2 linked regions of the Daphnia pulex genome follow. The protein of the gene in region 1 purifies or fractionates together with the protein of each later gene. This does not show direct contact. Links are inferred from orthologs where the notes say so. Each region holds a gene or a part of one and is shown on either strand. Other genes may lie near its edges. The genes, in order: transient receptor potential protein-like; 1-phosphatidylinositol 4,5-bisphosphate phosphodiesterase-like.

What was found.
Region 2: the proteins of transient receptor potential protein-like (region 1) and 1-phosphatidylinositol 4,5-bisphosphate phosphodiesterase-like purify together in Drosophila melanogaster (affinity purification with western blotting; 3 studies listed by BioGRID). This does not show direct contact. The link is inferred for Daphnia pulex from reciprocal best matches to the Drosophila melanogaster genes trp and norpA.

The regions. Positions count from the first base shown.
Region 1 is NC_060025.1:8,985,338-9,000,788, reverse strand, and holds transient receptor potential protein-like, read left to right. Parts: upstream 1-8,319; 5' UTR 8,320-8,409; coding exon 8,410-8,413; exon of another isoform or gene 8,414-8,434; intron 8,435-8,481; coding exon 8,482-8,555; intron 8,556-8,601; exon of another isoform or gene 8,602-8,619; coding exon 8,620-8,738; exon of another isoform or gene 8,739-9,502; coding exon 9,503-9,743; exon of another isoform or gene 9,744-9,815; coding exon 9,816-9,958; exon of another isoform or gene 9,959-10,021; coding exon 10,022-10,223; exon of another isoform or gene 10,224-10,231; intron 10,232-10,300; coding exon 10,301-10,474; intron 10,475-10,552; coding exon 10,553-10,787; intron 10,788-10,849; coding exon 10,850-11,002; intron 11,003-11,074; coding exon 11,075-11,220; intron 11,221-11,422; coding exon 11,423-11,529; intron 11,530-11,587; exon of another isoform or gene 11,588-11,599; coding exon 11,600-11,733; intron 11,734-11,796; exon of another isoform or gene 11,797-11,812; coding exon 11,813-11,936; intron 11,937-11,975; exon of another isoform or gene 11,976-12,000; coding exon 12,001-12,196; exon of another isoform or gene 12,197-12,211; intron 12,212-12,258; coding exon 12,259-12,411; intron 12,412-12,476; coding exon 12,477-12,543; and 6 more. Other genes in the region: 5-hydroxytryptamine receptor 1B-like, read left to right, coding at 1-65, 2,537-3,562; tRNA:m(4)X modification enzyme TRM13 homolog, read right to left, coding at 3,637-3,954, 4,049-4,173, 4,250-4,492, 4,605-4,799, 4,905-5,095, 5,244-5,548; cysteine-rich hydrophobic domain-containing protein 2-like, read right to left, coding at 14,340-14,390, 14,458-14,574, 14,638-14,848, 14,953-15,110. UniProt on the Drosophila melanogaster protein: A light-sensitive calcium channel that is required for inositide-mediated Ca(2+) entry in the retina during phospholipase C (PLC)-mediated phototransduction.
Region 2 is NC_060017.1:2,924,169-2,938,642, forward strand, and holds the end of 1-phosphatidylinositol 4,5-bisphosphate phosphodiesterase-like, read right to left. Parts: intron 14,108-14,474; coding exon 14,021-14,107; intron 13,922-14,020; coding exon 13,862-13,921; intron 13,789-13,861; coding exon 13,639-13,788; intron 13,244-13,638; coding exon 13,164-13,243; intron 12,720-13,163; coding exon of another isoform or gene 12,640-12,719; intron 12,231-12,639; coding exon 12,095-12,230; intron 11,977-12,094; coding exon 11,876-11,976; intron 11,744-11,875; coding exon 11,577-11,743; intron 11,514-11,576; coding exon 11,303-11,513; intron 11,246-11,302; coding exon 11,152-11,245; intron 11,073-11,151; coding exon 10,908-11,072; intron 10,510-10,907; coding exon 10,318-10,509; intron 10,082-10,317; coding exon 9,919-10,081; intron 9,486-9,918; coding exon of another isoform or gene 9,341-9,485; intron 8,930-9,340; coding exon 8,772-8,929; intron 8,706-8,771; coding exon 8,499-8,705; intron 8,426-8,498; coding exon 8,261-8,425; intron 8,186-8,260; coding exon 7,981-8,185; intron 7,908-7,980; coding exon 7,749-7,907; intron 7,685-7,748; coding exon 7,507-7,684; and 8 more. Other genes in the region: serine/threonine-protein kinase PAK 5-like, read right to left, coding at 1,141-1,302, 1,429-1,544, 1,686-1,830, 1,903-2,163, 2,233-3,843, 4,106-4,330. UniProt on the Drosophila melanogaster protein: The production of the second messenger molecules diacylglycerol (DAG) and inositol 1,4,5-trisphosphate (IP3) is mediated by activated phosphatidylinositol-specific phospholipase C enzymes. Essential component of the phototransduction pathway.

The sequences.
Region 1 (15,451 bases):
GCATCAAGCTCAATTCGTCGCCAGACTCTTGCGACACGGAATTCGCCGATAACATCACCTTCAAAGTGAGTTTGTTATATTTTACTTTCCCCTTTTCAAAAAAAAAAGGAAAAACGAACGTTCGTAATTGCCGCCATCAAATTTTCCTTTCGCGTCAGCCCTCAAAATTGTTACTCATAGACTTTTGAAAAGCTGGATGGCGCAGGGCCTCGTTAATTTCACGCGAGAAACGCCAAAGAGCCCCAGCAGCAGATGATGACAGTATAGCAAAATCCCTGGGCAAACTTTCTGGACGACTCTCTCTGCTTTTGACAACTGCATCAAGAGAGAACGTGAAAACGAATATAAAGGGGGGGGAGAGCTAGAGACGCCCATCTGTGAATCACGTTCTGTCAATATCGGGACGATGGATTGTCTAGGGTTAAGGCGGATGGGAACAAAAAAACACACACAGCACAGCACAGAGGCCTGGCTGGACCGGCGGAGGCGTCAAGTGCATTCAATCGATGAGTTATAAAGGGTTGGATGCCTCCGGTCGTTGGTGGGCGACGAGCTACACACGTTAAATAACGACGGCGACACTCGATTAAATTGGTGTTTAGCCGTTTTTAACGGAGGGTGCCTCTATTCGGTTGGTTAAACACCACGGGAAAACCCATCGGTTTCCAATTGACCCACCCTGGCTGATATCCGTACGCTCTGAGCCGTGTGTGAAATGTATACACTCAACTCGGTCGAGAAGATTGGCCCACACATTTCACTTCAGCAGCTGTTGCTCGACGCTATCGCTCAATCAAAACACACTTTGACCATGGAAATGGATGAGACTTGCACACGGCACTTCATACACAGCCAGCAATATATCACACACAGTACAGACTCTAGATGTCACATCTCGCTTAAATGTCCTTCCAATTCCCTTTTCATGACCATCATGGCCTCTCGAGCATTATTGCTCCCCCAGATATCTCTAGTGGCAATAAAAGTATGACCAATGAATTGAATTGCCTACCTCGTGTGCTGGGGTGTGCAGGCCACTTGCTTTTCTAGTTGAATTGACGTTTTCCAAAAAGGAATCGAAAAAATTTCTCTGCAGGGCCGGGGAGAAAAGGGCTTCTTTGCTTGGTTGAGGCTTCATTAATATTCAGGGAAATATTGCAGCATCTGCCGAGAAAAGCTGGTTATTATTGATGCTGGCACTGGCCCAAGGTCATACTGAGCCCAAACTTTTTTCCTGCAACACGACAAAAAAAAAGAACTTCAAGTTATTCAGCCACACAATGTCTCTCTATTATTCAACAGAATAAAACTCAAAATTTGTCTTTAGTTCCTTCCATAAAGAGACCCTGAATGCCCAGAAGAATCCATAAATATGTTATTACCTCTCAACAGCAGAACTGTTGTCTATTTGACCAGCACACACGCCGATTTCAAGGGAAAAAACTCATCCTGCATTCAACTTGAATGCAGTTGAAGAAAAAGCCAATCATTTCAAATCATAAAATCATTTGAAAACAGACGGAAATGGCACATTTAAACATTCGTCTCGCAGTTCTCGCGGGTTCGACGAAATGTGCTCATGACGTTTTCATTAACAGCGTTGCATTTTCAGAAACTTTTTCTTAATTTTTTTATCTCCAACTTGTTACGAGTTAATTATTATTTTCTAAAGAAAAATAAGGAACAAGAAAAAAAAACTGCGACACTTTGTACGTATACAAACTAATTTAAAATTTAAATCTGCCATTGTTGCCATGAGAATGTAGGTGCCTTACAATGTTATCAATTTGCAAACCTCCATTTTTCTCACTGTTTTTTTTTAGGGATTTAAAAAATAAAAAGGAAACTGCATAACATTCTTTCGCAACTGAAAGACGCATGCTCAGCGTCCGGCAAACTTGGCCGCGGGAGCGTTACCCAAAAAAAAGAAATCGGTGCAAAGGAAGAAGAAGAACACGAGTTCGCTCTCAGAAGCACTTTCATTTTCTTTTTACTTCCGCCTCATATCTTTAGGATGTAATATTCCCCCTCCCCTTTTTTTTTATGCCCATCAGGCAGTTTTTTCCCTACACTCCCCCGAGTCTCTCTTGCAGCTAGCTATACACACACCTTCGACGGATCTAAGCTTTCATGACTCGTGACGCGTGTACAGTCCAAGGTAGAGATAACTGTCCAAACAGCAGCACACACGGAGTTCAGCCAAGCGACGAGGCTCGTAATGGATCACATGTACACTCTCTCTGTTGATCGCAAAAACAGCTTCTGAAAATCACCTAATAAACGAGTTTCAACACACGCCAGAGAGAAAGTACCGAGAAAGCCACGACGGACTGACGTCAACAACGAATAAAAAGAGATGGATAAATTCTTCTCCGCCACCACTGTGTGTTCCGGTCGTAATGGATTTTTTTGCTCGTCCAGATGAAAACATTCCGATCCATCTTGTTTTGCAAGCCCAAAGTGTCTAGGCTAAATTAATTCACTAAAGTATTTCATCGATTTTTCTCTTTTCTATCCGGTATTTATAATTCAACAGGTCACTGCTGCGGTGGCTAATTTTTACGTGCCAACGCTATCGATGCTCTACATTTACGGGCGAATATTCCGGACGATCCGCCAGAGGAGCCGCAACGATTTGGGTGAAGTGATGGTTTCGACGGCCAGAAGACGACAGAGTCACAATCAAGCGCCGGCCATCGTCTCGGACCACGGTGATTCAACTAGCCTCCAGGCCCTGGAAACGGACGACGAAGGACTGGAGGATCAACCCAATATGAAACGGCTGGAGCGTGGAATATCCACCATAGCCCGGAGCTGGAATCACGTAAGCGGCAAGTTCAATTGGTACAGCAGCAGCAGTCAGAAAAGTGGGCCGGGAGCGTTGCAACCAGCTGGGTCGACTCACTCGAGAAGGATCCGGGCAGATCGTTCGATATTGGATTTTTACGAGAGTCTAACGCTGATGGAACTGCACGGAAGCGACGGCGGAGTGGACGGAGCCCGGCAAAGCACAACTCATTACATCAATGTCCAAGTCAAAGTTGAATACGTCGACGACGTCGTCGATAGTCAATCAAACAACCATCGATTGGTGAGCGAAAAAGTTAGCCTCTGCAGACAACAGCAGCAGCAACTTCGCCGGCCATCGACAAAGTTGTTCGCCAATAATCCGGCAGCAGCTGCTGGATCAACGACTGCCTCTTCCGCCGCTCCATCGGTGCTGATTTCGCAGAAAGAAAGAAAAGCTGCTAGGCAACTGGGCGTCATTGTCTGCGCCTTCATGGTCTGCTGGCTGCCTTACTTCATAGTGTTCCTGGTCGTGGCCGTCTGCCCGGACTGCATCGGTGACACACTCTTCAAAATCACTCTGTGGCTGGGCTACATCAATTCCACTCTCAACCCGGTCCTCTATCCGCTTTGCAACGCCAATTTCCGCCGGGCTTTCGCTAAAATGTTGAACAAAACCTGCACATGCTGCCGCAATCCTTCCTTCCAGCGAACCAGTCAAACCTATCCGTTGTCCGGCCCGGCTATTCCGCTGAATCAGCAATCGCGTTTCTGAAGCTTCACCGATTTTGTCGATGTTAAAAAAGATGTTTATTTCCACTCTGTAAAAAAAAAGTAAGGAATAAGGATTTAAGAAATATGCGCAAGGAGGAGAACATTCTCAGGAGAAATGTCCGGTTCTACGTAGTACAAAAGCTTGGCCTCAAGTGGCCACGTAGACAGAAATGCCACTCGGCCACGGTCGATGATTTGTTTACACTGGCGGCCGATTTTTTCCCGCCGTTCAATATCCAGGCCCATGGCCGCATATCTACCGGGCAAGGCGCTAGTGACTTCGCCAGCCTCTTGACCAGCATCGCTGTGTTCTTTAGCACGACGTGAACCGCATACTGCCCAGCTGGTCATGGCCCTCATGATGGCGAAATCCGTCTGACTCAGACCCAATTCCTAGTTTTTTTAAATCAACATTTAAAAGAAAAAAAAATAATAATTTAGACTGGAAAAATGGGCAATCAGTTGGCACAGGAAAAGTCATGATTACCTGGAAGAAGGCTTTACCCACGTAAAGCCCCCAGGTGCATTGATGATGACAGCATAGGGCGATGCAAACACCTTGGACCAATCCGACGGGGTTATTAGCTCTATAGAGGCAATTCAACGCTAAATCTGTTTGAAAAGAAAGAATCATTTCTACAACAAAAAATATACAGTCATTTGAAGAAGAAAAAGTTGGCGTGTTTACCTGTCGCTGCTCCGCACAAGTGTTTACCAATGCCGACTAGGCGTCGAGTGTCGTTTCGGACGAGCGGAACTTGACCCAAGTCGACGTCAGCAATGTCCGCTCGAACTCGATGAATGGACGCGTGACTCTCACCGTCCACTTTGTAGCGGTTATCGTGCTTGTGCCTCGGCGAAGATTTGTCGATCATCAGCAATGCATCGGTATCGAGGTCGACGGCCTGGCCGACCGCGTAACTCAATTGCCCTAAACGTACAAAAAAAAAACTAAATTACAAACTAAATCGTGTCGTGTTCGTGCCCTGTTTGTAAATACTGTTTCGGGAAAGAAAAGATATTGAAATTAAAGCTGTATATACCTCTGCCTGAACCGAATTCGACGTAAGTGCTACGTGATTTTCCAGACGTCAAAACACCAACTCGAGCCATATTGTGTAAAATGGAAGAGGATTGAAAGACGTGACGCCAGCTCCCACGGCTCTCCGTCAGCGAAGCGAGTGTCGACTCTAGAACTGGGTGACGTCCAACGGAAATTGGCAGCTCTCCAACAAAATCTATGGGGACATGAATGAAGATGCTGTTAGGGATGGGTTTTCGTTGAGCTGGGGAAGGTAAAAAGAAAAGTTGAAACTCTCAACAAGTGACCGTTCCACACCCACCTGAGTGGATCTTGGAAACCCTGGAGATGATGGCCAGCAGTTCGTCATCAGTGAGGGTGCCAAGGTTGACTTTGATCTCTTCGTCATTGCTGTCAATCACATTTACATTTTCCTTGATGTATTCTGGCAGAGGTTGGGGTTTTGAATTGCACTTCTCCATGTGCTTTGCCAGTTGTGATACAAAACATGAACTGAAAATGTGACACATTATTGTTCAGTCAAGACGTAACTAACAGATTCAAGAATTCCACCAATTACTTGTAAATGTGTCCATTAATGTACAACAGACCATTTATCCATAAAAGAAAACAAAATTTAAATAATCATGTTTGTTATTACTGATTGGGGTCGTAGGGACAGGGCGTTCGTGCATATTTAGCAGCTGATGTAGGGCAGGCTTGATTGGAAGCTTCCAAAGAGGCATGTTCACCGCAGAACTTGCGCCCGGTCTTAACTGACATGCGGCAATATCTTTTCTTGGTCTGCAAGAAATAGGCGCACGTCACTTCAGTTTTATTACTGGTTGCCATTGAATTCACACCGGGAATGTCGAGAATGTCGAGCACTGCGTTAATTTGAAAAATGCGAACCACGTGAAACGTGTGCAGGTTACAACCGTACACCACAACAAAGCAGACGAACATATTGAGAAAAAAAAAAAGAACACACGGCGTTGATGTCAGATGACCAAAATTCTGCTCATTTCTTTCAAATTTGTTCTATCGAGAATCGATGATTCGTTTTTTCAAAACAATTCGTTAAAGGGCAATTTTTTAAAAGTTTCAATATAGATGCATGGGCAAGGACATTCGACGTTAAGTGCTCGTGCGTGACCTTCCTCAAACGAAACATGCGTACCCGGTAGCTAGTCATACCAACAAAAGAACGCAAAATGCGAAATTTGACATAATTTGCATTTTTCCTGTTGCTGCTATTAACATGTCCCAGAGATGTATAAATAGGAAAATGAACAGTCTATTCAACGAATTAATACTCCAATTGGTGCAATTCAATTTTTGTAATTTCGAAGGTGCATGCAATACCAACAGTGCGCAATCTAGTTATCAAGCCACTGCACAGTTCTTTGAAATATTATTTAAGACAACATGAATTTTTTCTTTACTATTCATGGACTACTGTCAGCATGATGTATATCAAATTCTATGATATAGCGGGCGAAAGTCGACCATCGCGACCGATATCATAGATTAGATTCATACGATTACGGTGAAGAAGCTGGTGAACATATATCTCCCCGGAAATGTGCAAGACAGTAGCCGTTACGTTGTATTGAATATAAAATTTCTGTGTTTACAGCAATCTGGTAAGCATATTGCATTAGCTAGTTAACGAGTGTGCACACGGCGATTATCAATGTTCACCTGGGAATATGAAAAAAACAATAACACTAATTGATGTACTGATGGTAAGCGGACATTGTTCATTTATCTAACGTCATCTATGCTATAAGTTAATAGCAGTAAAAGGAAAAAATGCAAATTATGTGCCAGTTGTCATATGCTAGTATGTTATTGGCTTTGTCAAGGATACCGAGGGCTTTTTGGTTCAGATTTGAAGCTGACATAATTTGGATTTTTCCTGTTGCTGCTAGTAACATGTACTAGACATGTATAAATAGAAAAATGAACAATGTCTACAACGGATTAATCCATCCATTTGTGCAATAAAGTTTTCATAGTTCCGTATTGCACATAGATAAACGCATTAGACACGCTAGTTGACAAGTCAATACAATTTTGACGGTATTAATATATAAGTAGGCAACAGATTGTTTTATTTCAACATGCATGAATATCATCAATTTTACACCCCCGAAAGACGGAAGTCCTACCAACAGTTGAGGCTGAGGTTGAATGAACTGGCTAGATAATCAATCTCGGGTGGTTGATACACTTGCCGATCTTCCTTAAAAGGATGGGTTATAATTGAATGATAGTCATAGTCCAAATTAATTAAATCTTAAACAATCTACTTAAAATATACAGGGAAAGTATTTTCAATGGCTAGGTAACAATTGGAACACTTAAACTATTAATGTGCATTTGATGAATTTCGAAATTCCCATAACACCCATTGTTGCACTATTGTCATGCGGACATTGTTCATTTATTTAAAGTCAAATTTCCGACATAATTAAGTAGCAGCAATAGGAAAAAAAAGCAAAATATGTCAGTATGGTTCTTCATGTAACTGGCCAAAAGCGCATCGATGTCATCCAGAAAAGAATAAAAAAGGCCATCGCATCGAGCCAAGAAATACAAAATAATGTAGGTCATGTTCATTATGTTTATTCGACTCCTTCCACACATTTAAATACATTTAAATATTAAATTGTCAGTGTAAACTGTCTCCCTTCCGGCCTTGGGAGAAACTGGACGATCCGTGCGTGAAACGTTCTGAATGTTTCGGTAAATTTATCACAAATATCAGCGACAAGAGAAATTTACATGGACGCATGTATGTAGAGGATGTAACTGTACAGCAAGTGAGTGGATATCCTGAAAATAGAAAGGCGAGCCGGGCGATGGATCGATATTAGGTCCCTTCTTTTTGTTGTGCGGAAGCAGCAGCCACAAAAGAGAGCGGCAAAATAGTTCATATGTATAGGCTATAGACGTGATCAGCGGCGATGCAGACTATTATTACTACTCCAGACTATATGTAGCTTCACGTTCCGTCACGGTTGGCGAACGTGAATTGATAGGCCGGCCCACAGTCCGCCTGTATACATGTAGGTTTCTCTGTGATGTGTCCATGCAGATACTCGAGTTACTCCACCCTTCCAAACCGCATACAAATTCCTCTCATCATTCTCAGCCGTATAACCATGTCGTGGATGAATCTACTCAAAAAGAATAAGCCTTGACATGGAGGAGCCATCTCCTATACTATATACATATACCCCACCGGGTGTAACTGATATAAAATCGATCACGAACGACATGAGAAGAAGGAAGTACATATAAAAGAAAAACAAAATAATAATAACAAAACAAAGCAGCAGCATTTTATAAGCGCATAACTGTGCCCCCCTTTTCCAGATTTCCCCGGGAAAAAAATACCAAAATGGACGAATACATCAATAATTTCGATCGTGATAAATCAAACGATGTACATATAGGAAGGACCAAAATATAGCCGGACAGCAGATTGAGAGGGGCCACTGTTTTTGAAGGGCAGCCGGGGAATATCTATACGTGTTCTGATAGAAGCCACCACCATAGAGTAATCCTTTTAAGTGAAACATCGGGACAAAGAAGAATGGCAAAATTCTAAAACTAACACACAGGAGAGTATGTTGTGTGTGTGTGTAGATAGAGCTGACGCCTAACAAGATTAGTTAGTCGAAAATAGCCGAATGATTCCACCGAAAAACGAGGAAGTATGTGGACGAGTTTTGCAGAGCCTTCAGTAGCCCGGCACGCCAGCTGGCCGCTCGGACAATCCAACGAGTCCGTCCGATCCTGGATGGTAGGCCATCATCATGTGTAAGTATCGCCTTTTATTACCTGTGAATGTTTTAATAATTTAGAAAGTTGAATCTATTCCGGTGCAGCGAAAAGAATGGAAGGAAAAAAGAAATCGGATTCTCGGGAGGGTCTCATCTCCCGAGACTCGCAGCAGAGCCTGGTATTAAAATGACATAACTTTAATTTTTAAAAATGACGAAACTGACCTTGTGACCATGCGACAGATAAGTATCAAAGAAGATCCGCAGTTTGTGATGGGCCCGCCCGTCGAGTCGATCCTGAAAAACGAAGAGAAACGATATTTGCTGCTGGTCGAGCGCGGTGATTTCAACGGAGTCCGCAGGTTGGTCCCAAAATTCCATTTCCTTGCAAAAATGGCCAATTCCGACCTCAAACTCAAGTGCTAGCTGCGAACCAACAAGAATCCGATTTCAACTCAATGTTTAGTCAGTCACACGCCCGACCGATTTGCCAGTTCCATATCCTTATTCACAGCTAAAGCCCCTCTCCCAAGGAGAAAACTTGTCCACCCTTCTCCCCTCCCACATATTTAAGCTCGAGGACTTCCGAGTAAGACTCAACAAGGAGCGCTTTTCCTAGTGTCTACATAAATACTACTGCAGGGACCCAAAAAAGAAAAGAAACCCAACTTTTTTCTTCCTTTTTTTCCCGCGTGCAAAGGCACGCGGAAAATCGAATCATCAGATCCAGCAGGAAACAGATTTCTTTCAATAGAGTTCCCTATTTTTTTTTCTCTCCTTTTGGAAAATCTCCTTCATGCACCAACTCCTTTTTCTCCGTCAACTTTTGAGCGGATGAAAAACAGCCATTCCTAGAATATCAGTATAAGAAACAGTCAAAACCCCCTGACGTCCAGTTTGTTATTTGCTCTTGTCGCTATTGACCTTAACACAAAAAAAAGGAGAAAAGGTATTGCATCTGCAGAACGTGACACTGAAAGCGCATTGTCCTATTTGTTCAAGACATGGCGAAGGTCATATATCCTATATCTTAAGGGATTAAGTGAATCCTACATCTGCATAGCACCGAATTTTGGTTAGAGGAGCCCTTTAAAATTGGAACAAATAATTTGACAAAATTCTACAGCTTGATAGAAGACTACAAGGATCGCCCAAACGATTTGAACCTGAACTGCACGGATCCGCTGGGTCGTACGTCGCTCGTTATCGCCATCGAAAACGAGAGCTACGAGCTGCTTGAAGTCCTGCTCGAAGGTGGCATTAAAGTGTCTGACGGGCTCCTGCACGCCATCAGCGAGGATTACGTCGAGGCCGTCGAGTTACTTCTTGAATGGGAAGAAAAAAACCACAAGGATGGCACTCCTTACGTACGTCTAGACATTTCTATAATCGCTGAAAGAGCAAAAAGGATTTCTCTTTTACTGTTTTTCTTCTTCTAGAGCTGGGAAACGCTGGACAGCGAAAATGCCACTTTTACGCCCGACATCACTCCACTCATTCTGGCGGCTCACCGGAACAACTACGAGATCCTGAAACTCCTGCTGGATCGTGGCGCTGCCTTACCTATGCCCCATGACGTCCGGTAATTACAAGAAAAAACCCATCAGGATCAATAATAATTAATGAATCGATTGTGATTGAACAGGTGCGGCTGCGATGAGTGCATTGCTTCCAGCAAGGCCGATTCTCTGCGTCATTCCCGCTCTAGGATCAATGCCTACCGCGCACTAGCTTCGCCATCTCTTATCGCCCTGTCCAGCAAGGATCCCGTCTTGACGGCTTTCGAGTTGAGCAACGAATTGAACCGCATGTCCATCATCGAATCCGAATTCACCGTCGACTACAAGGTACGGACCTAATTATAATTGACCAGAGTTAAATTAGAAGCAGATTAATAAATATTTCCATGATTTGACGAGGGCAGCAACTGGAAGAACAATGCCAAAAGTTTGCGACGTCTTTGCTAGACCATGTCCGAAGTTCCTACGAATTGGAGACGCTACTCAACTATTCTCACGACTCTGAAGAAGTTTGGGAGCCCGGCGACCGCCAGACTCTTGACCGACTCGAATTGGCCATCAAGTACACCCAAAAAGATGTGCGTATTATCAGGCTAATTATAATCGTCTAACAAATCATTTTCAAAACCCCAAACCTAACCTAACCCGTTCTAAAGTTTGTGGCTCACGCAAACGTGCAACAATTGCTGGGAGCTATTTGGTACCAAGGTTTGCCGGGATTCCGTCGCCGCTCGGCCATCGGCCAGATCGTCGAGACGATGAAAATCGCGGCCAAATTCCCCATTTACTCGATGCTCTACATGATTGCGCCAACGACGGAAAAGGGGAAATTCATCAAGAAACCTTTCGTCAAATTCATTTGTCATTCGGCCTCGTATCTCTTCTTTCTCTGTAATGCGCCATAAAATTTGACTACGACTGCAGCAATTATGAACTGATTCCCCATTATTTAGCTCTACTCGGACTGGCTTCTCAACGCGTTGAATACCTCCTCATTGAATGGTTTGGCACTGAATGGATGCAGGAAATCATGGAAGATTGGAAACGTCGCGAAAGGGGATCCATACCCGGACCTATAGAACTTTTCATCATGTTATACATATTCGGTTCGAATGACTCTGCGATTCTAACAATAAGCAACATCTGCAACTGAAAAATGTTCCTTCTTTGACAAACAGGGCACATCTGGGCGGAAGTTCATTCATTATGGTCCGACGGTCTAATGGAATACATCACGGATTTATGGAACTTGATTGATTTCACTTCAAACAGCTTCTTCCTGGCTTGGATATTTTTACGAGGTGTCGCCTGGTTCATCGTTCAGGTAAAAAGATGAAGTTGGAAAAAATCAAATAATTACAACTCGGAAAGAGAGAAAAAAAAATCAATTTCCTGTTTCGACTGACTGACTGACGTCTGAGCGAAGCCTCAAAAATAGTGTTCAAGATTACACACCGCACCGAGAGAGAGAGAATAAAGTTGTCGTGTACGTATGAGTAATCTAATTATCTGGGGATACTACGTAGAGGGAACAATGGGAAGGACTGAATCCTTGGTATCCGCGAGAGGAATGGAGTACGTTCGACCCCATGTTACTAAGCGAGGGAATGTTTGGCGCCGCAATGATTTTCAGGTGCCCAAAATTATTGAACCCCCCACAAAAAAGCAATTTTAATCCTATTCAACTTTACCATTATTTCCAGTTATCTGAAGACGGTCCACGTTTTCTCCATCTCTCCGCATCTGGGTCCGCTGCAAATCTCTCTCGGCCGAATTATTATCGACATCATCAAGTTCTTCTTCATCTACATGTTGGTCCTTGTCGCCTTCGGATGCGGTAACCAAAGAAACGGGAAATTAATTTCAAAGTAGTGAGCTAAAATTCCATTTGAAATATTACCCGGGGAATTGAATAGGTTTGAATCAACTGATGTGGTACTACGCCGATTTGACCAGGAAAAAATGTTTCTGCTTGCCTAACGGAGGTCCTGATTGGGAAAACGAACAAGAAGCTTGTTTCTTTTGGCGCCGATTTTCAAAGTAACTCACTTTTATAAAATCAAATTAAAACCATATTACCTTTAATGAGTTTCTGTTTCGACAGTTTGTTCGAGACGTCGCAATCCCTGTTTTGGGCCAGCTTCGGTCTTGTCGATTTGCAATCATTCGAACTTCAAGGCATCAAAGGTTTCACGCGCTTCTGGGGCTTGCTCATGTTCGGATCGTATTCCATGATCAACATTATCGTCCTCCTCAACATGTTGATTGCCATGATGTCCAACTCTTATGCCGCAATCGCCGTAAGACAAAATCTCCTAGAAAAACAAAATGTAAAATTTCAAATCAAACTTGAATTAAATAGTCGAGGAGTGATACCGAGTGGAAATTTGCTCGTTCCAAACTTTGGCTCAGCTATTTCGACGATGGCGCCACTGTTCCGCCGCCTTTCAACATCATGCCGACGCCGAAATCCATGTTTAACGTGTGCAAGAAAAAACAAACCGAAGCAACTAAGGTACCAAGAATCATAAGAAAATCTATCTGAAGTTGTACACTTTTTTACGTATTACCTGTACGTAGGAAAAGAATCAACACAAGGCCGAAATCAGACACATGGAGGTGATGCGACTTTTGGTTAGGCGCTATGGTAATGAATCCCCTTCAAAATCTGTAAAAATGAGAATGAAATGTTGAAATATTTATAGTTACGGCCGAGCAAAAGAAGAGCGAAGAAATGGGCGTTACCGAAGACGACGTCAATGAAATCAAACAAGACATTTCGTCCTTCCGTTTCGAGTTGCTCGACATCCTCCGCAATAACGGAATGAAGTGTGGCGACGCTGAGAAGGCCGGCAACGCGGGTACCTGCCATTTTGATTTAAAATTGTTTCATTATTATTTTCCCATTTCTTTACTCTAACGATATTATATTGATTGGATTACTCACGCAGCCGGAAAGAAGGGAAGACTTCGTGAGCGTCGTCTGAAGAAGGGCTTCCAGATTGGTATGGTGGAAGATTTGATCAGCTCCGTGATTGCGAACGCCTCGGCAGACAAGGGACCTGTGGATGTCTTTGGCAAAATTGCTAAAGTCATGGCATCTCGCAGTAGCTCCAAGATGAAGAAACGAAACGAATGGAACGCCATGGCGGCCAGCAGAGCGTCGATTAGGAGGAATCCTATCGGATCCAGAGCCCAAAGTAATCAAAGGTGGTCGCAACAGTCGCTCCGTCGTTCCATTATCGAATCAGAAAGGGAAAATCTCTTGTCCATGGATCCTGAACGTATCGCGGAATACAATCCTCGCCTTAAGGAGTACACACCCGCCACCCGAGTGGCCTACGCCAAGTTCAAGCGCAATACGCTGGGCGTCATTGATGAAAACAACCAAACAGGCAGCAAAGAGGACAGAAAGATGGAAAAGAAATTGAAAAAGAGTACCGTCTCCTTGAAGAAATTGGCATCCGATCCGGATATGAAGAACAAACTGATCGCTGCCGGAGTTGAGCAGTCATCGGAAACGAAACCAAACTCAAATTTGGATACCATCGTTCATCTGGAAGAGAACGAATCAGTTACTCCTGTACCACCCACTCCGACTCCAACTCCTAAACCACCCACTCCTGCGCCTAGTCCTGCACCTCCGACTCCAGCTCCTAAATCTCCGACGCCAGCTCCGACGCCAGTTCCAACTCCAGTTCCAACTCCAGTTCCGACTCCAGCGCCTACACCAGTGCCTGCATCAGTGCCTACTCCGACTCCTAAAGCAGCTACTTCAGCGCCAACTCCTTCACCTACACCCATACCCACAGTCTCGGGGACTGTGGCAGCAGCCCCACCATCTCCTGCCCCAACTCCTACACCAACCACGCTCCAACCAATCAGTGCTTCTTCACGCCCAGATGAGAGAGGGCGTTCACCTTCACCCTCACCACGACCTGCTGCGTCTCGTCCTTCCTCTCGTCCTACAACATTGAAAGAAGGATGGTTTTAAATGGATTAACATAAAGTCTAAATTTTTCTAGAGTAGATTTTGACACTTTTAACTTAAGAAATAAAACTTACTGGTTCTGATTCTTTTCGTTGCTATGCCTTGCCAGTTGGTTAATCCATCCTGTAGTTTTCTCCATAAACGACATGTTTATTGCCCGCAACACATTCTAAATATACACGCAATAGCAAGCTCCGAATTCCTTCTTTTTGGGGTTTTTTTTTTGTTTTACTTACACAAAGACGTTTACATGATTAGGGAGTCGTTCAACATTTAAGCAGAGAGATCTTAAAGTTGTCATACTGACAAATAAACCCTTTCGGAGGAAAAGTACAAGCGTAAGAAAGACCATTTATAACAGACAATTCTGGCCGATGATGAAGAATAAGAAACGACATCCAACAATGAGCAGTCAAAATTGTGCGCAATTTTCCTTGAGTTTCCATTTCCTGTTAATCGGGACGATGAATCTGAAGTCGAGGTACAAATTCGACCAATAGCACCTGTATCACAAACATGGCAAGTATTATACCAAAAAATAAAGAAGTGAAAACGTTTTCCATTTCTTACATATTCCACCATGGCTGAACTGTCACATCTTTGTTTAGATAGCCTCCAATGTAATCCCAACTTACTGTACAAGTGGCTATTTTCCCAGTCAAGAAGTTTCTCAAGTGCATGCCTTGTCTAATGAAAGAAAAGAAATTGTTAGCACAAGTGGAATGTCAATGAAACCTTTACGCTCATTACCCTTTTACTGAGGCAAACTACAGGCCAAAGTGAACAACCCAAAGTACAGCAACAACATATACACCCACAAAACAACCACTTAACATTCACTGGAAGAGTTTTTTTCAAGACAGAATTTATTCTCTGAAGTGTTTCGCTGAACTCTTCAGGAGCGACCTTGCCTGTCAGGGCAGATGGGAATTCTGTGTCAAAACGATTACTAAGTCCAAACCTGTATGAAAATAGGCAATAACAGATAATTAAATTTCAGGTAGTTTTTACTTTTTACTCATCTCGGACGACTTCTAAAATATGTCAGAGACAGATTTCACTTACACAGTAACATTCCCAGCACCTCGAATAGCAACCGGATCTCGAACAGGTTCTCTATGATGTGTGAGCAAATCGACCCATTCTCCATTGTCTGAATGAATTCCATGATAAACGTCTTCATGAAGAGTCGAAATCGCGTTCAGGTCTTCTGCATTGGCCATTATTGATATACATTCGACTCAAATACATTCAAACAAATCAGACTCGTAAATACACTCCACAGCAGTCGTTCATCCTGTTCTACTAAACAAGTAAACAGCTGATTTCAACTTTCATTCTTTACACCATAACCATATCCATAAACTATTATTTTGGAGGATGGGAGACATAAAAAAACATTTTATACAAGATCAATTTTTATAAAACATAACACAAATAATCTTATATTTAGTACACATTCATTTAAGTGTAATTTCTATCTATTTTACGAGTTATTTTGATTTTTAATTTAATTTAATACGGGAAAACAAAGAACTTGCACGCCATCTAGCAGCGGTCACAT
Region 2 (14,474 bases), on another chromosome or scaffold:
AAACAACAACAGAATTAAATACGTATATACCCAGTATCGAGAAGTCATTGATCTTAATTTAGCTCCAGGCCGCAGACAACTAAAAAAAAAAGGAGAAAATGATATTCAAATGCGTGTATTCTTCTTCTTTCATTGTTGTTGAATGTGGTTGTTGTTTGTATAGGTTTGATATTGGCGCGTCCAGGAAATACACGAAACAAAAATGATGATGATGGTGGTGGGTCGTCTCTCTCTCCTCTTGGCTCTTGTGAATATTCGTTACCATTATTAGACATCAAGGGTAATGGATTGGCGTGGACGTGTTGTACCGCGAATAAAAAAGAGATGAGACCGCCGCCACGCGAGCAGCAAGCAACAACGAAGAGAAAGCCATCGAGTCTCACGCAAGGAGAAACAAACGAGACAAGTGCGAAAGGAGGAAATGATGATGATGATCAAGACGGACAGAAAACGAGGGATATAAATGTGGGTAGACGAAAATTACATCTTGGGCTATTAAACGTCAAAAAAGAGTTTCCTTTTTTTGTTGTTATTGTTGTTTTTACGTTAAAAAAAAAAGAAAAGATGGAAACAGACAGACAGAGAAAAAGAAATGGTTTTTTAAAAAAGTGTTCGCAAAACATCCGACGATACGAAAGAGGCACTACATTTGGACGGAATGATCCGGAAAGGAGGGATAGGTAGAATTAAGGCTGATATGATACTGATAACACAGGAGAGAAATATTTTTATAAAAGGGGAATCACCCTTTTCTTTTTGGTCAACTCAAAAACAAATTAAAAAGAAAAAAAAGTTGTCAAATAATATGGCGAAAAACGAAAGATTCTGTCCTTTTTTTTCTCTCTAATTGTTTTGTTTTTGTTTGTTTTCTTTTTGTTCATTATTATCTAATCGCAAAAATTCCAGCCCGCTTCTGAGGCATTGGAAAAGCTGCCATTGGTTACCTTTTGTTTGATTTTTAATATACAGAGAAAATAGAGGGGAAAAAAATACTTGGGGATTTCCATCGCAGCGATTCATGGCGTCAACGGAATACATATGACGACGTGGGTCAATCGCCAACCACGCCCTTTTTTTTCTTCTTTTAAACACACACGGTCGACTGCCATGAATGACGACGGTAGGAAAAGCTGTCAAAACCTAAGTGGGCGAGTGTCGGAAAGATCGCATGAGCGGGACGAGCAGAGCTGGAGGTCCGGCTTGCCTCAAAAACGGATGATGAAGCAGCTCGAAGGCGGTGGCTCTTTGAGCGGGGTCTCGTACCAACATTCGATCCAGAAAGCCTTGTAAACGGGCGGAAACCTGACGTTCATCATAAACAAACAAACAAAAAAAATAAACGAACGAAATTAATACACAGATTGACGGCCTGCCAGACCAAACCAGCCAGCGGTAGCTTTTAGAGAGATTGAATGACCGTTGCCTTACTTTGGTAGCGTTGCGCAGCTTGGGTGGGGGCATATCCCGAATGCGTCTCATAGCCTGCAAGGGGGGTTCGTTAAAGAAGGGCGGTTCTCCGTCCACCATTTCAATCACCATTATACCTGTTTTGTTATTGTAAGAATTAATAATGGGAAAAAAAAACAAAACGTCGATGTCGTGACAGAGAGACAATGGCTGTCAAGGAATGTTGCATTGCCTTTCAAATCTTAGTTTTTTAAGAAAATATATTTTCTTTTATTTACCTAAACTCCAAATATCTACTTCAGGGCCGTAAGGTAGGCGGGATATCACTTCCGGAGACATCCAGTAGGGCGTCCCCACTAGCGACTTCCTTTTCGGTAGCTCTTGTGACACTTGAGCGCAGAAGCCAAAATCAGACAACTTAACCTGAGGTTTAAGATGGGCGTAAACAAATTAATTTTTACAAAAACAGATTGAAATAAATCAACAATAAATTACCCTTCCATCAGCTGCTAAAAGAATTGAATCTGATTTGATATCTCTGTGGATGACACCCTGCGAATGGAGGAAAGCCAGCGCTTGCAAACACTGGAGACACACAGTGGCAATTTGTTCTTCATCCATTCGAGCGTGAGTGACTATATCCGTCAGAGCGCCACCCTCTAAATATTCCATCACCACCCACAACTCGTCGCCCACCAGGAAACTGTCGTACATCTCGACGATATTCGGATGATGATAGTCGCGCATAATGACCACCTACGAATGCGAAGAGAATCTCAATGATAAATAACGACACAAAAATAAACAGCTACGCAGTTATTATACTTCGTTAAAGAGGAGTTCCCTTCGTTGCTGGCGCCTCAAATCCATCTTCTTGACGGCCACCTGTCGGCCAGTATTTTTCTCTACGGCGATGCAAACGACGCCAGTTGAACCTTCGCCAATCTTAATGAAACTGTCCAGGTTAATCCGTGGATCACCCGGACTGACGACCATTTGTAAAGCGGCGCGGAATTGTTCGTGAGTCAATCGTTGTTGCTGTTGTTGTTCTTGAGCGGCGGCGGCGGCCGCTGCGGCTGCCGCAGCAGCTGCAGCCGTCGATTTAGCCACCACAACACTTTTGCTATTGTTCAGCGTGTTCTGATTTTGGTCGGCTCCGCTGTTGTTGTTGACCGCGTTGCTGGATGGCGGTCGTGGCGGCTGTGGACTGATTTTCGGCGGAAGAGGACCCGGTGGTGGACCCGATGGATTGGATTGGGGTTGCTGTGGGTATCTCGACGGCTGCTGAGGATGAGCTGTTGCAGGTTGTTGTTGCTGCTGCTGATGTCCGTTGTTCAAAGTCATGTGTTGGAACTGTTGACTTGGTGGACGATAAGTGTTGGGAGGTTGAGGAGTCGTCGGACTCCGGGGGAGCGGAGAGTGCGACTGGGACGACGCCGACGAGTTCGAGTGAGGCGCTGAATGCTGTGGCGGCAGAGTCAAGTGAGGAGGTTTCATTGGCTGCGCGTTGGGTTGCTGAGGGCCTGGATGTCCATTGACGTTTTGACCGTTAGGCGGTCCGCCGTGTTGATAAGGTGGCGGTAGGGGTGGTCGATACTCTTGGTTCTGCCCGTGATTATTCTGATGACCAGCTGGGTAGTGGTTGCCAGTTTGGACTTGTAAGTGGCCCGGCATTCCGCCATGGCCAGGATGTTGATTCGGTATCGGATAACCAGGAGACGGACTTGTGCTGCCAGGATGCATGGCGCTTCCTTGAGGTCTTGGTCCTCCGCCAGGCTGATGCATTCCTTGAGACGGATGCATGCCGTGCTGCTGTGCCTGCATGCCGCCCTGTGGATGCATTGGATGGCCTGGTTGTGGTTGCATCGGTACGGCTTTCATCATCATCTGAGAATTCCGTTGGACAGGAGGTGGAGCTGGATAGTTGGGAGCTGGAGGTCCCTGTTGTTGTTGTTGTTGGTGTGGTGGCATCTGCTGCTGGGGCATGGGGTAACTTGCTTCCCGCAGGATTCCTTGTGGGTGAATCGGACGTCCCATTCCGTCTCTGACGTCTCTCGGAACGGCTTGGTGTTGATGAGGGAAATATCCTTGGGGATACTGCTGCTGCTGCTGCTGCTGCTGTTGGTGTTGCTGCGATGCGAGATAGCCTGGTCCGTAGACAGGCTGGCCAGAAGGATAGTTGGCATTATTGGGTGAAGGCAGAGGTGACGTTTCACCTCCTAATCCTTCGCCCATTTCTGGAACTGGTAGCATGGGTTTGTAATCTTTTCGGGCTTTGGGAGGGCTGGATGAGCGTAGACTGTTTGAACGGACCACACTGGATGTCCGAGGCAGTCCTGGTCCTCCTCCATTGTTTCCATTGTCGTTTTTACCAACCCCGCCATTGCCGGTGCTCTTGCCTTCTCCTCGTACGATCGTCTGCAACGACACATCCTTCTATTGAAACGGAATAATGAAATCAAAGGGTGCATAGCTGCTTCATGGAATTTGTTAGACGGGAAAAAGGTGGGACGACGACCACTGAATCAACGATGAAAGCAATAGCCCAAGTTTCTTTCGTGTCGGAGTTGGTCGGAAGCGGTTTTGTTGAGGAAAACCGTTACCGAGATTTCGGTCGTGATTCGGTGGTCGGAAGGTCATATAAGGGATATATGGATGTTTATTATGGGGTTTGCAGCTCTTGTGGTAGATTTTTTACCTTCAAATCCAGGACTTCTGTTGGGGTGATTTCAGACGGATCGATTAAAGGCGTCGGTCTGGACGATAAGGCACCCTTGGCCGACGGTGTAGGGCTCACGATGCCCGCCCACTGTGGCGGTAGTCCGACGTAGCGGTTCTCCCGTTTGTCAAAGCCCGTGTGCACCCTGTGCTCAAAGTTTTTAGGCAACGAAATGTCCAATTTCTTCTTCTTCTTGCTGAACATGGCGAATCAACTTTGAATATTGAAGAACTAGAACTATTCAAGAAAACAAACAATACAATCAGTTCCTTTTGAAACAGTACTAGTCGAAACACTTTCAAAGAGAAATAGCGGCACTTTACACACAATCTTTGCCGACATAGAAATTGAACGAACTAAACGGCATCACGCTTCATGTACCAATGAGAGTCTCGTTTCCTCTTCTGATGTTTGTATCTGCTACGACAACAAACACGAACAACAAGGTAAAAGTAGGAGCCAACGCGAGGAGAGAGAAGGACGAAACGAACCGTGTTGAACGACGTCAACAGCCGAATGACGTGCGGCGTATATACCTCCCTCCCAAAGGCGTCTGGTTTATGTTTCGTGCCGGAATGCGGCCGTAAAAAAAACGAAGACGACGCGCATACACACACAACACAACACACACACACAGACACACACTACCAACCTAGTTTTTAAGGTTGCTAGTTAACCCAAAATAACTCCATTATGTTCCAATCAAAGCCTATTGTTATGTTACGTGGCACAGAATGGTTCTGATTCAAATGCCCAATTACAATAAATGTTTTGATAACTTGATCGTCCAACTGTTAAAACCCAATTACAGGTGTAAATTTAAACCCTAAACTTGAACCACATGGGAGAGAAACATTTTCCATCTTCAACGAAAACCAGTTAGTAGGGAAACATCTCAGACGAGAGTTGAACACTATCTACTTATTCAATTCAAAAGCACAGCATTATTGTACGCAATGCAGTTAACTTCCTCAAATGAATCACATAAGGTCACAAAGGTAATGTCATTAAGGGCTTGTACACCTAACAAGATTGTAGACAGATTCAGTTTTGACAGGCGAAATGGGGGGGGGGGGGTATTTGTGAAGCCTTCTAAATGTTGATTTACTGAAAATCCTTATAACATCACTATGGTAACACTCAGGTAATGACAAAACACATGCACGCACTGGCCACGTACCAAGTCCACGTTTTTATCGACCGACTAATGCCGAGGATCAATAAATTTCACACATGAAAACAAAAGACTTGGCCTATGGAGGAGGTAAGATAACCAAATGTCATTCGGCCGTTGAAAACACCAAGCCACCCCTTTCACCTGTTAACCATTCAAAGAGCACAGCAAAAATGCACATAAACTCACCTTTAAAATGATAACACCAAACAGGAATCCAAAAGCACCACCAAATGAGCACTTAGAACTTAAACATCGAAGAAACTAAAGGAAATGAAAGAAAAAAAAGGCTGCGGAAGATTGTTTATAGTGAATCTTGTATGGCCGCCATCTTATTTGCTTGTTAAGGTGTTTCCCCCTCCCCCACAACAGGTGAAGGCTAACTAGTGACCATTGTTTTCACCTACCCATCAAGCGATTTATTATATTAATATAAGCAAGTCGTAAAATACAGCATAACTAAAAAAATATTGAATTTTCATTCGCCAATTTTATATTTTAGAATGCTGTCATAATAATATCATCTTTTTTTTTTTTTGCAATTTTATTTTATTTTTTGGAAAAAGAAATTCGTAGCGGGTCGCTGCTAAACAGAAACCAGACACTTGGCTTGGTTTTTTATTTATTGCGTTGTATTTGGATAAAAGAAATTCACAACTATGAATATATGCAATATCTAGAAGAGAGAGTGGGAGTGGACAAGTTCTGGAGGACAAGAGAGCAATTTAAAATTTTGCTCAAGGAATGAACTGTAAATTAAATGTGAAAACAAAGTAAAGAAAAAAAAATAGTATAGTTGGGATTGATTCACAAATCGGCTCATAGGCCGATCCAGCGCCATCTAACGAGTAAAGAACAATAGTAGTCCCAACGATCATAAGGCATAGTTTGTTGGCACACCCAAAAGATTTTTGGCTAGGTATGAAAAGAATGAAAAGATGAAATAAAATTTGGAAATAATACAGGTTACGGATTTGAATAACAATGAGAGGTACCAACAATCGCGGAATAGGAATTGCAACATCTACGAGTTTTCTTTAATGGATCCTTTTATGTTTTTAATGTAAAGAGAAATATACTCAAATGAAACGTATGGCGACGTACGGGGGGCATGGAAGCGCATGTTTAAGCAACAGCAGGTTCACATTATGTGATGGAATGTGATGACGAAGAATTTAATGAGTTGAACGCCACAGGTCTCAAACGAAGAATTCATATGGATTCGCCAGCTGGTACTCCACTTCCGCGTTCTTATACATCTCAATATTCTGTGAGAAAGGTATAAATTAAACAAAAAGAAGAAGTGAAACGGTTACAACTGCACAAGAAAAACAATATCTCTGTGTCTCCCGACGACATTTAAAGACTAGTAATAAAAATACAACCCTCAGGTGATCATCTAGATTGCAAAGCTCAAAGTGCTTCGAGTCGTTAAAGCGAAACTGTTCAACTGTACAACGAGAAGACTTTGTAATCTCAGAGCATTAAGTAAATAACAAACTAATGCGTTTGGAAAAGTTTAAGGTTTGCTTCGCTATCAAGCCCTTGAACACACGCGTAACCCTGTGCGTGTTTGGCGTTTAAAGTGAAAATCAAGAAAAAGTAAAAAGTTACCAGTTGAATGTCTCGGTTCAAGTCCTCCAGTTGCTTTGCATGCATGGCCACGAGCTTCTCCTTCTCTTTGCCCTGTTTCATGGCGGTAATTTTGCGTTCCTCGATAAACTTTTTGGTATTATTTTGGGCTTTTTCACGCAAACGGCGCTCCTTTTCCGCTTTGTTGCGCAGCGTCTTGTCGGCGGCCACTTCTTTGGCTGTTTCAACGGCCATCTTCGCTTGACGTGACTTCAGGTCTTTGTTCTCTCTATAAAATGGCCAACGATATCATCAACCGGCACCTCAGATCTAATAAAGAGCATAAAGATTTACTTCTCCAATTTGGCGTCCAGCAGCTTCAGTTGGGCTCCCTGTGCCCCCTGCATAACCGTTTTGAGAATGTCCTGTTGAGCCTCCAGTTGTTCCTTCAACAAGGTCCACTCCTCCTTCAAATGGCGCCCGACCAATTCGGACCACTCTTTGGCTTGCTCCGCTACCAGCTGTTTAAGGGCCGGATCGTTGATGAATTCGTCTTTACTGCAAATCAAAACGGAATGAATTTTGATGATGAAAACAAAAATTTCGCGGGGATCCTTTTTGTGGTCGGTTATACTTTTTCCCTTTAACGATCCTCTCGACGGCCGACACTTGGTTCTTCTGGATGGTGGCTTTCTCCTTTTGTTGGCGTTTCCTCATTGAATCAAGGTCCTTTTGGTGCTTCTTGGTCGCCTTGGCAAACGCTTTATCGCTGCGAAGAGACTCGAGGGTCACAGGTTCGAACTTCATTTCCTCTGCGATTCGATTCGGTTAAATAAACAAGCGTTGCTTAATGATTGCGCGAAATCAGAAATTCACCTCTTTTGACTTCTTCTTCGGCGGCTGGAGCTGGTTTGCCGCCAGTGACAGCAGCCTTGGATTGTTCTGATTCTTCAATTCCCATTTCCTTCAGTTTATTGTCTCGTTCCTTATTGGCAGACATAAATGCTCGAGGATCCGAAAGTGCGTCCATGAATCCTAGAAAACATGTCACAATGGTATCCTATTCATGCTAAAGGGGAGTGATATACGAGCACTTGGCGACACATACCTCCCAATCCATCCGGAACGTAGATCTTTAGCTCAATGTTACAAAAGAGCATGGGCAAAGCCATTGGAAAGTTGGCTTCTGTCCTTAGAGAGATGTGACGGTATCCACCTTGGAGACCGTCCAACGGCAGGATTCTTTGACCAAGAAGTTTGCCGTTTTCATCGTAGACTCCGAAACGGAGTACAGCTAAATCTGGAAGAACCACCTGATCATTTGAAAATAAAGAATATATTATATATATTAGACATCAATTCTTTTTTAAAATTTATGAATTAAATACTTTTCGGAAGAGGAAAGGTTCTTCGTTGTAAATGGGGTTGAGACCATTGGCGGGAACCATGCGAGTTCGAAACTCTTTACGGATGGTATCGGTTGGCAGACCGTACATGTCGACTTCAACATAAGTACCGACTTTCTTATCGGACAAAAACTGACCGGCGATAACCTATAGCAGGTGCCATGAAAAAAAGGAGTTTAGGTAATAAACCCAGGAAAGATTTATATAATTATTCTTATACCTGGACAGCGCATTGGGCGGCAATGACACCATCCACGGGCGATTCTGCAAACGGGTCGAAAGTTCTGTCGGGACGACGCATGAAATCGGGTTTCAGGAGGTAGCCGCAGTTTCCGTTGTACTCAAACTTGCCCTGATTGAGCTGGAACGGCAAATCAGGTGTCTGGAAGTTAAGCGACACCATCTGGGATCCAGCATTCCAGAACACCTAGAAAAACAATGGTAAGTATTATTTTTAAAATGCGTTCGGTATCAACAATTACGCATAGTTTACCTGGGGCATGTAATTGGAGGAATCGGCTCGAGTTCCCTTTGGATAAATACGACTCATTTGACGCTTGTTGTAGTTGACGAACTCAATGGCCGTAGTCTTCAGGTAATTGAGACCGGTGGTTTCCGCAAACGACGACATGTTGTGGTGAATATTTTTTTCTGCGTGATTTATTATGAGAAAAGTCACGTAATGCATAAGTTGCTGTCGCTTATTGCTATGTCAACCAAAAAGAGAAACTAAACGGATTTTGAAAAGTGGTTATATCTGTGGCAATCATCATTCACTAACAGGCCAAGCATAATTCATTCGGGATGCAGTTCTTTAACAAAAAAAACTAGTGGCATGGGAGAAGAAACATGATACCAAACAAGCAAATACTTCATCCAAACTTCCAGGCTCACGACTTACTATATTCGACGATCTAAAAATAAAAAACCTACTCATCGCAGAATGTACGACATTTTATTGTTTTGCTTTTTGCTCCTGCAATTCCCAAACGAAAGGAACTGAGCTACTGGATGACAGAAAATCGAGCTGCTACTTGTTGTGTGATTTTCCAATCATCTTACGTTCTGCCTCAGCAAATCCTTTGAAATGGACAGGCTGAGCATAGTTGATCATGGAAGACAGCCATGGATGGACAGCGGATGTAGAGCCCGAATGCAAGGGTACATCTCCTTCTGTGGGGGCCCCGGGTGCTGCTGGATCCCCTTCCTATTTAGACAAAGCAGCAAGGGCCATTCGTCCCGCGGAAAGAGTTATAACATCAAAAAGCTTTTTCCATCCAAAACAAAAAGAAGCTGCCACCTAACTGAATCCTTATCGATTCAAACTAAACAGTAGTCGACTTTGACAAGAAGCTGAAAAGAGTGATCCGATCCTATTCGGATGCAATCGTATGATAATGTCATGCAATTCGAGTAAAGAAAATCCCCAAAAAACATCGAACACAATGAAATCAAAATTAAACGATGCGCGTTAGCTGTATGTTGAGACCATCATGCTGAATCCTCTCAACTATCTGAGCTATATAGTTACACACTATTTATGTAAAGGCTCATATTTAGCTGTCAAAACAACACCGATACACATCGAGATAAGTTGCTTTTTGTTGTGCATCTTTTCGCTGTTTTTGTAAGCTGATTACCCTCGGCTACATCGAATCCCTGGAACTTGACAGGCTCTGCATAATTGACCATGGAAGAAAGCCAAGGATGAATGTGATTGGTTCCGCCTTTGTACTCGTACACCTGGAACATCTTCTCTTCAAAGCTGAGAGAGCGGGATTCGCTGGCGCCGGCTTCAGTTTCCTTATTTTGGTTTTGGTGTAAATAACAGACCAGAAATAGTTGGGTTTTCATTCATCAACGCTTTGACATGATGATGATGATCTCCCCCCAACATCATTATTTTAGAAAAGAGACGGAATTATATTTAATCAGGCAGAGAGCCCAGACTTAATGGTTTGACGTCCTTGTGTCTTGCTCGCGGCCCCTCAAAATTTTCTGTGAAAAAGAAATGTGTTGACGAACAACTCTGAAAATACCTTTTTATCTTCAGGAATAGGAGCCGCTGGCGCCGAAGCGTCTTCCTTCTCCTCGTCCTCTGTTATGACGAACTGACCCTGACGGAAGAGTTCAAGCTCTTGCTTTTCAACATCTGGCTTAAGTCGTTTGTTCTTGATGAGAATCTTCCGCTTCAGCTGGCTCGGACTTGGCAGAGGCACTCCGGGTTCCAACTAAAAGTAGACCACGAGATGAAAAATGCTGTTCAATGAAAACTTATGCCAGGCTAATTGTCGGGTGTCGGGGAGTAGGGTTTTCCATTGGGAGTCGGATCGAAAGTTGCCAGAACAGACGTGCCGATCCACGAGAAGCGACGAAACAACAATCTTCCAGCAAAAACAAGAGCAAGCGTAAACAATACACGGAAGGTTCAAGTCTCGAGGTGAATCGTAACCTAAATATTTACGAGTTGGTTCTTTTATCGCGCTCGTGGAACGTCATCCCAAGGTAGTCATTGTGAGGGACGTCAAACAGGGCCCCTGTTTGGTCTATTTTCGTTCTAGGCAGGACGAACGGGGTGAGGGAACTCGACATGGGGATACCGACAGGGCGCATCGTTACGTTTGTTTACCGGAGATTCAGGAATCGGTTCCTTTAGCAGGAGATCACCAAGGATTTCATCGCAATATTTGGCCAGCTTATACTGCTGGGCTCGACAGCAATGGTTCTCGAACGACAGAATGATCGGCCAATCCGAAGTGACAAAAGCGCAGTCGCGGATGGCGAGAATAACGTCCTGTCAAAATGAGAATTCAATTCCAGCTTTCGCGACATGGCTTCGCATAGGATTATCTATATATAGGCGACTCACGGACCTTGAAGAGAATCTCAGTACACATGGCTTTGCCGTGAGTAATGATGGGTTCTTCATCGCTGCCTTTGCCATCCCAACAATCGAGCTCGACACATCTAAACAGACAATTGTTAAGTTGATTTAAATTTATTCATTCCGACGAGTTTTGTTACCTGCAACCGGCCAAAAGGGTTTGTCGGTACATTTCCACCGAGGATTTACCGCCAAACTGTCGTCCACTGAGATAAGTATTGTGGGAAGAGTTGATGTAATAATGCGACAATGGTTGATCCATTTCCATGTAGATGTCAAGACGATCGAGCCATACTGGGGCATTGTCGTCAGACATGAGATAACGAATGAAACCGTCTTTGCTCAAGCGCCCTGTTGTTCATTGGATCAAAATTACTCATACATTCATTTAGAGAGCTAATTTTAGAAGATTACTTCTAAGGCGATTATCTTTGTCCTGTTCATACTCTTCAATAATTTCTGTGGCTCTTTTCTCATTATAGAGAGGATAAAGGATCTCGTTGAGGCGGGGATCGCGCTGTTTGTCGTTCAGAAAATCGATAAATTGAATGATCCCAATCGCATCCGACTTGCCTTTAGTGCTGCATGAAACAAAAGAGAAAATCACGTTAATTCAACCGAATGGCTGCACAAAGTTTTCATATCCAAGTGGATTAATTACAAACAACAGACATCACGATTAGCTGAGAATTATTCGTCTTCGGGAGACTTACATGGATTGAAACAATTCTTCGATATCATTTCTGGGACAAATTTTGTGATAAAGTGCGACGAACTTCTCGAACGTAAAATCAGCTTTTTCCATAGAATCGCCCTGGTGTGAAAAAATCGAATTTTTATGAGCAAATTGAATTATAGTGAGCAGACAAAACACGCAAACATGGGGAAAAGGGAGTCACGGGCTTCTGTGAGCCAATTGCAACATTGTTTACCTTTTCACTGGGAAGTCCTAATTCGGCGAAGGCCTGGTAGATGAGTTTCTCCGTTTTACCCGAAGCGAAAGTTCTGGCCACGACTTTGACTGGCACTTTACCGGCTGCATCCACCTGGAAGCCGAGTCGCATCCAACTGGAGCAGACAAACACGCAGGCAAACACAATGAGAAACGTTGAATTTGTAATTTAATAGTTTGAGAATTAGAAAATGCAAATAAGGTACTAATTTAGTGGTGCGAAACGTGCATCTAAGCAGAAAAATATTCAAAAGCACAAAGCTTTTTTGATATTTCATCATTTTCTAAATTGTGATGGTGCTCATGAAATAACATTGAAAATAGCATTCGCCTCCAGTCTATATAAATACTACATGCAAACTAGCAGCAATCATTCCATAGATATACGAAACCAAAAATGCTAGATGAACAGTGATGCTCCGAGGTTTGTGCCGTGTACTCATACATTGGGGAATTTTAATTTGGTCGAATTCATCGACGGTTCCCAGGGTGAGTACACGGCACACAGTAGAAGGACAAACTCACTGTTTCATCAAGTTGGTTGTAGGGCAGACATTGATGATCTTGTTCTTGTTGGTAATGGTGCGCAGACCTTCCTTCCACGTCTAGAATTGAGTTAAGGACAACAAGGTGGAGATGCGATTTTCGATCATTTTTCGATAAAAATAAAGGGAAGAGAAAAGAAAAAAAAACCAAATCTATGCGCTACTAATTTACTTCAAAACTAAAGAATATGTCCGCCATTTCATTCCGGGTTATAAATACTATTGGCGGAATAATCTTTCGTGCACGAAAACTTTGCTAATAAAAACGAAGTGAAGTCTCTCAAGTGGTAGTATAGATCCAGGCAAGACTGTATATGTAATAACAATCAACTAATTCGTCAATAGAGTTGTTTTCACTGCGTCGTCTTTGAATAACGAGTTTGTTTGTTTTGGTATAATTTACGTCGCGAGCCATTCGGATTTGCTTAAAAATTTCGGTTTTTATAGCGTTTCGTGCTGTGCGCTCTGATGCCGTGCTCTTCTTTCTAAATGCGATAGACTTACTGTTTCTTCAAGCACGTCATCGGACATATGTTGTTGGCTTTGACATTCGAGGTGATCTGCCGCAACCCTTCCAGCCACGCCTGTTCGTTGTTGGAGAAAAACCAATTCGATTCCGGTTCGATTATACATAGAAGAAGGTGTCAGTATCTTATTCATTTGATTCCCTCTCCCCCACCCCTTGAGCAATATTAGATATCGTCGAAGCTAATTGATTGAACACCTTTCCTTTCGCGTGAAAAAACTACGGTACAACTTGGCTGTTAAGCGGTAGGTGGCACTGAGCGATTATCGACCCACAAGGTTTTTTTTTTCTTTTCATCATCACATTCAACACTGTAGGGGGTGGGAGGTGTGTGTACAATAAAAAATCTATATATCTCTGTTCTAACAGAATCTTTTCCGCGCAGCCCGCAAGAGAAAACAACGAAAGGAAACCGGCACTCGACAGAAGAAACGAAAGACTAATTATGCTCACCTTGGCCTGTTCGGCTGACTCGCAAACGACGTGCAAATAATTGATGTTGACCATGTCGAGACCGCTGCAAATGGTCAGTGATTTGTCGTCGAGTTCCTGGGCGGTGTTGGATCCGTGCTTGCTCATCAACTGATTCAATCCACGGGAGTCCTATGAAAATAATAATAGCGATTCATTAATAACACGCTTGTTAGGAGACATGCTCTCTCGTGTTTCGTCATACCTTTGGAAGACCTCCCGATCGAACGTCGCTGACCTGGCTCAACTCCAGCACGTCGCCGTCCTAGAATTTGAGAGAGAGAGAGAGCGCGACATTTGAATCAATCAAAACGTCTGCCGTATTTAGCTGAATTTTTCCAAATCATGATAATTCAATTCTAACCCGAGGTTCCGACTTCCAATGGATGAAGAAGCCATACTCGTCGACCTGAAAGAAGCAACTCGGCTCTAAATCGAACGTGTCCTTTTCCTATAAACATTTTCCATAAGGAAAAAAACGAAAAAGAAAAAAAGCGGTAAATATTTATTTTCAGAAGCCTGGAAAATGCCTTTGTCGTTGCCTGCTACACACAATCGATAATTCAGTTCTGGCTGAGCGAAATTGTATCAATTTTGGGGAAGGAGGAGAAAAAGATTAAAATAAAATCAATTCTTGGGAAAAGAGGAAGAAAAGAAACAGTGAAAAATAAGAGAAAACAAAAGAAAGGCGGAAAACAAAGTTTGCTATTACTATATGGTGCCCCCGGTGGCAGCAACGAGAAAAAAAAATCAATAACGTCCGGACGAGATTCTTTGCTCTTTCTTCCTCCCTTTATATACGTCAACGTTTTACAATT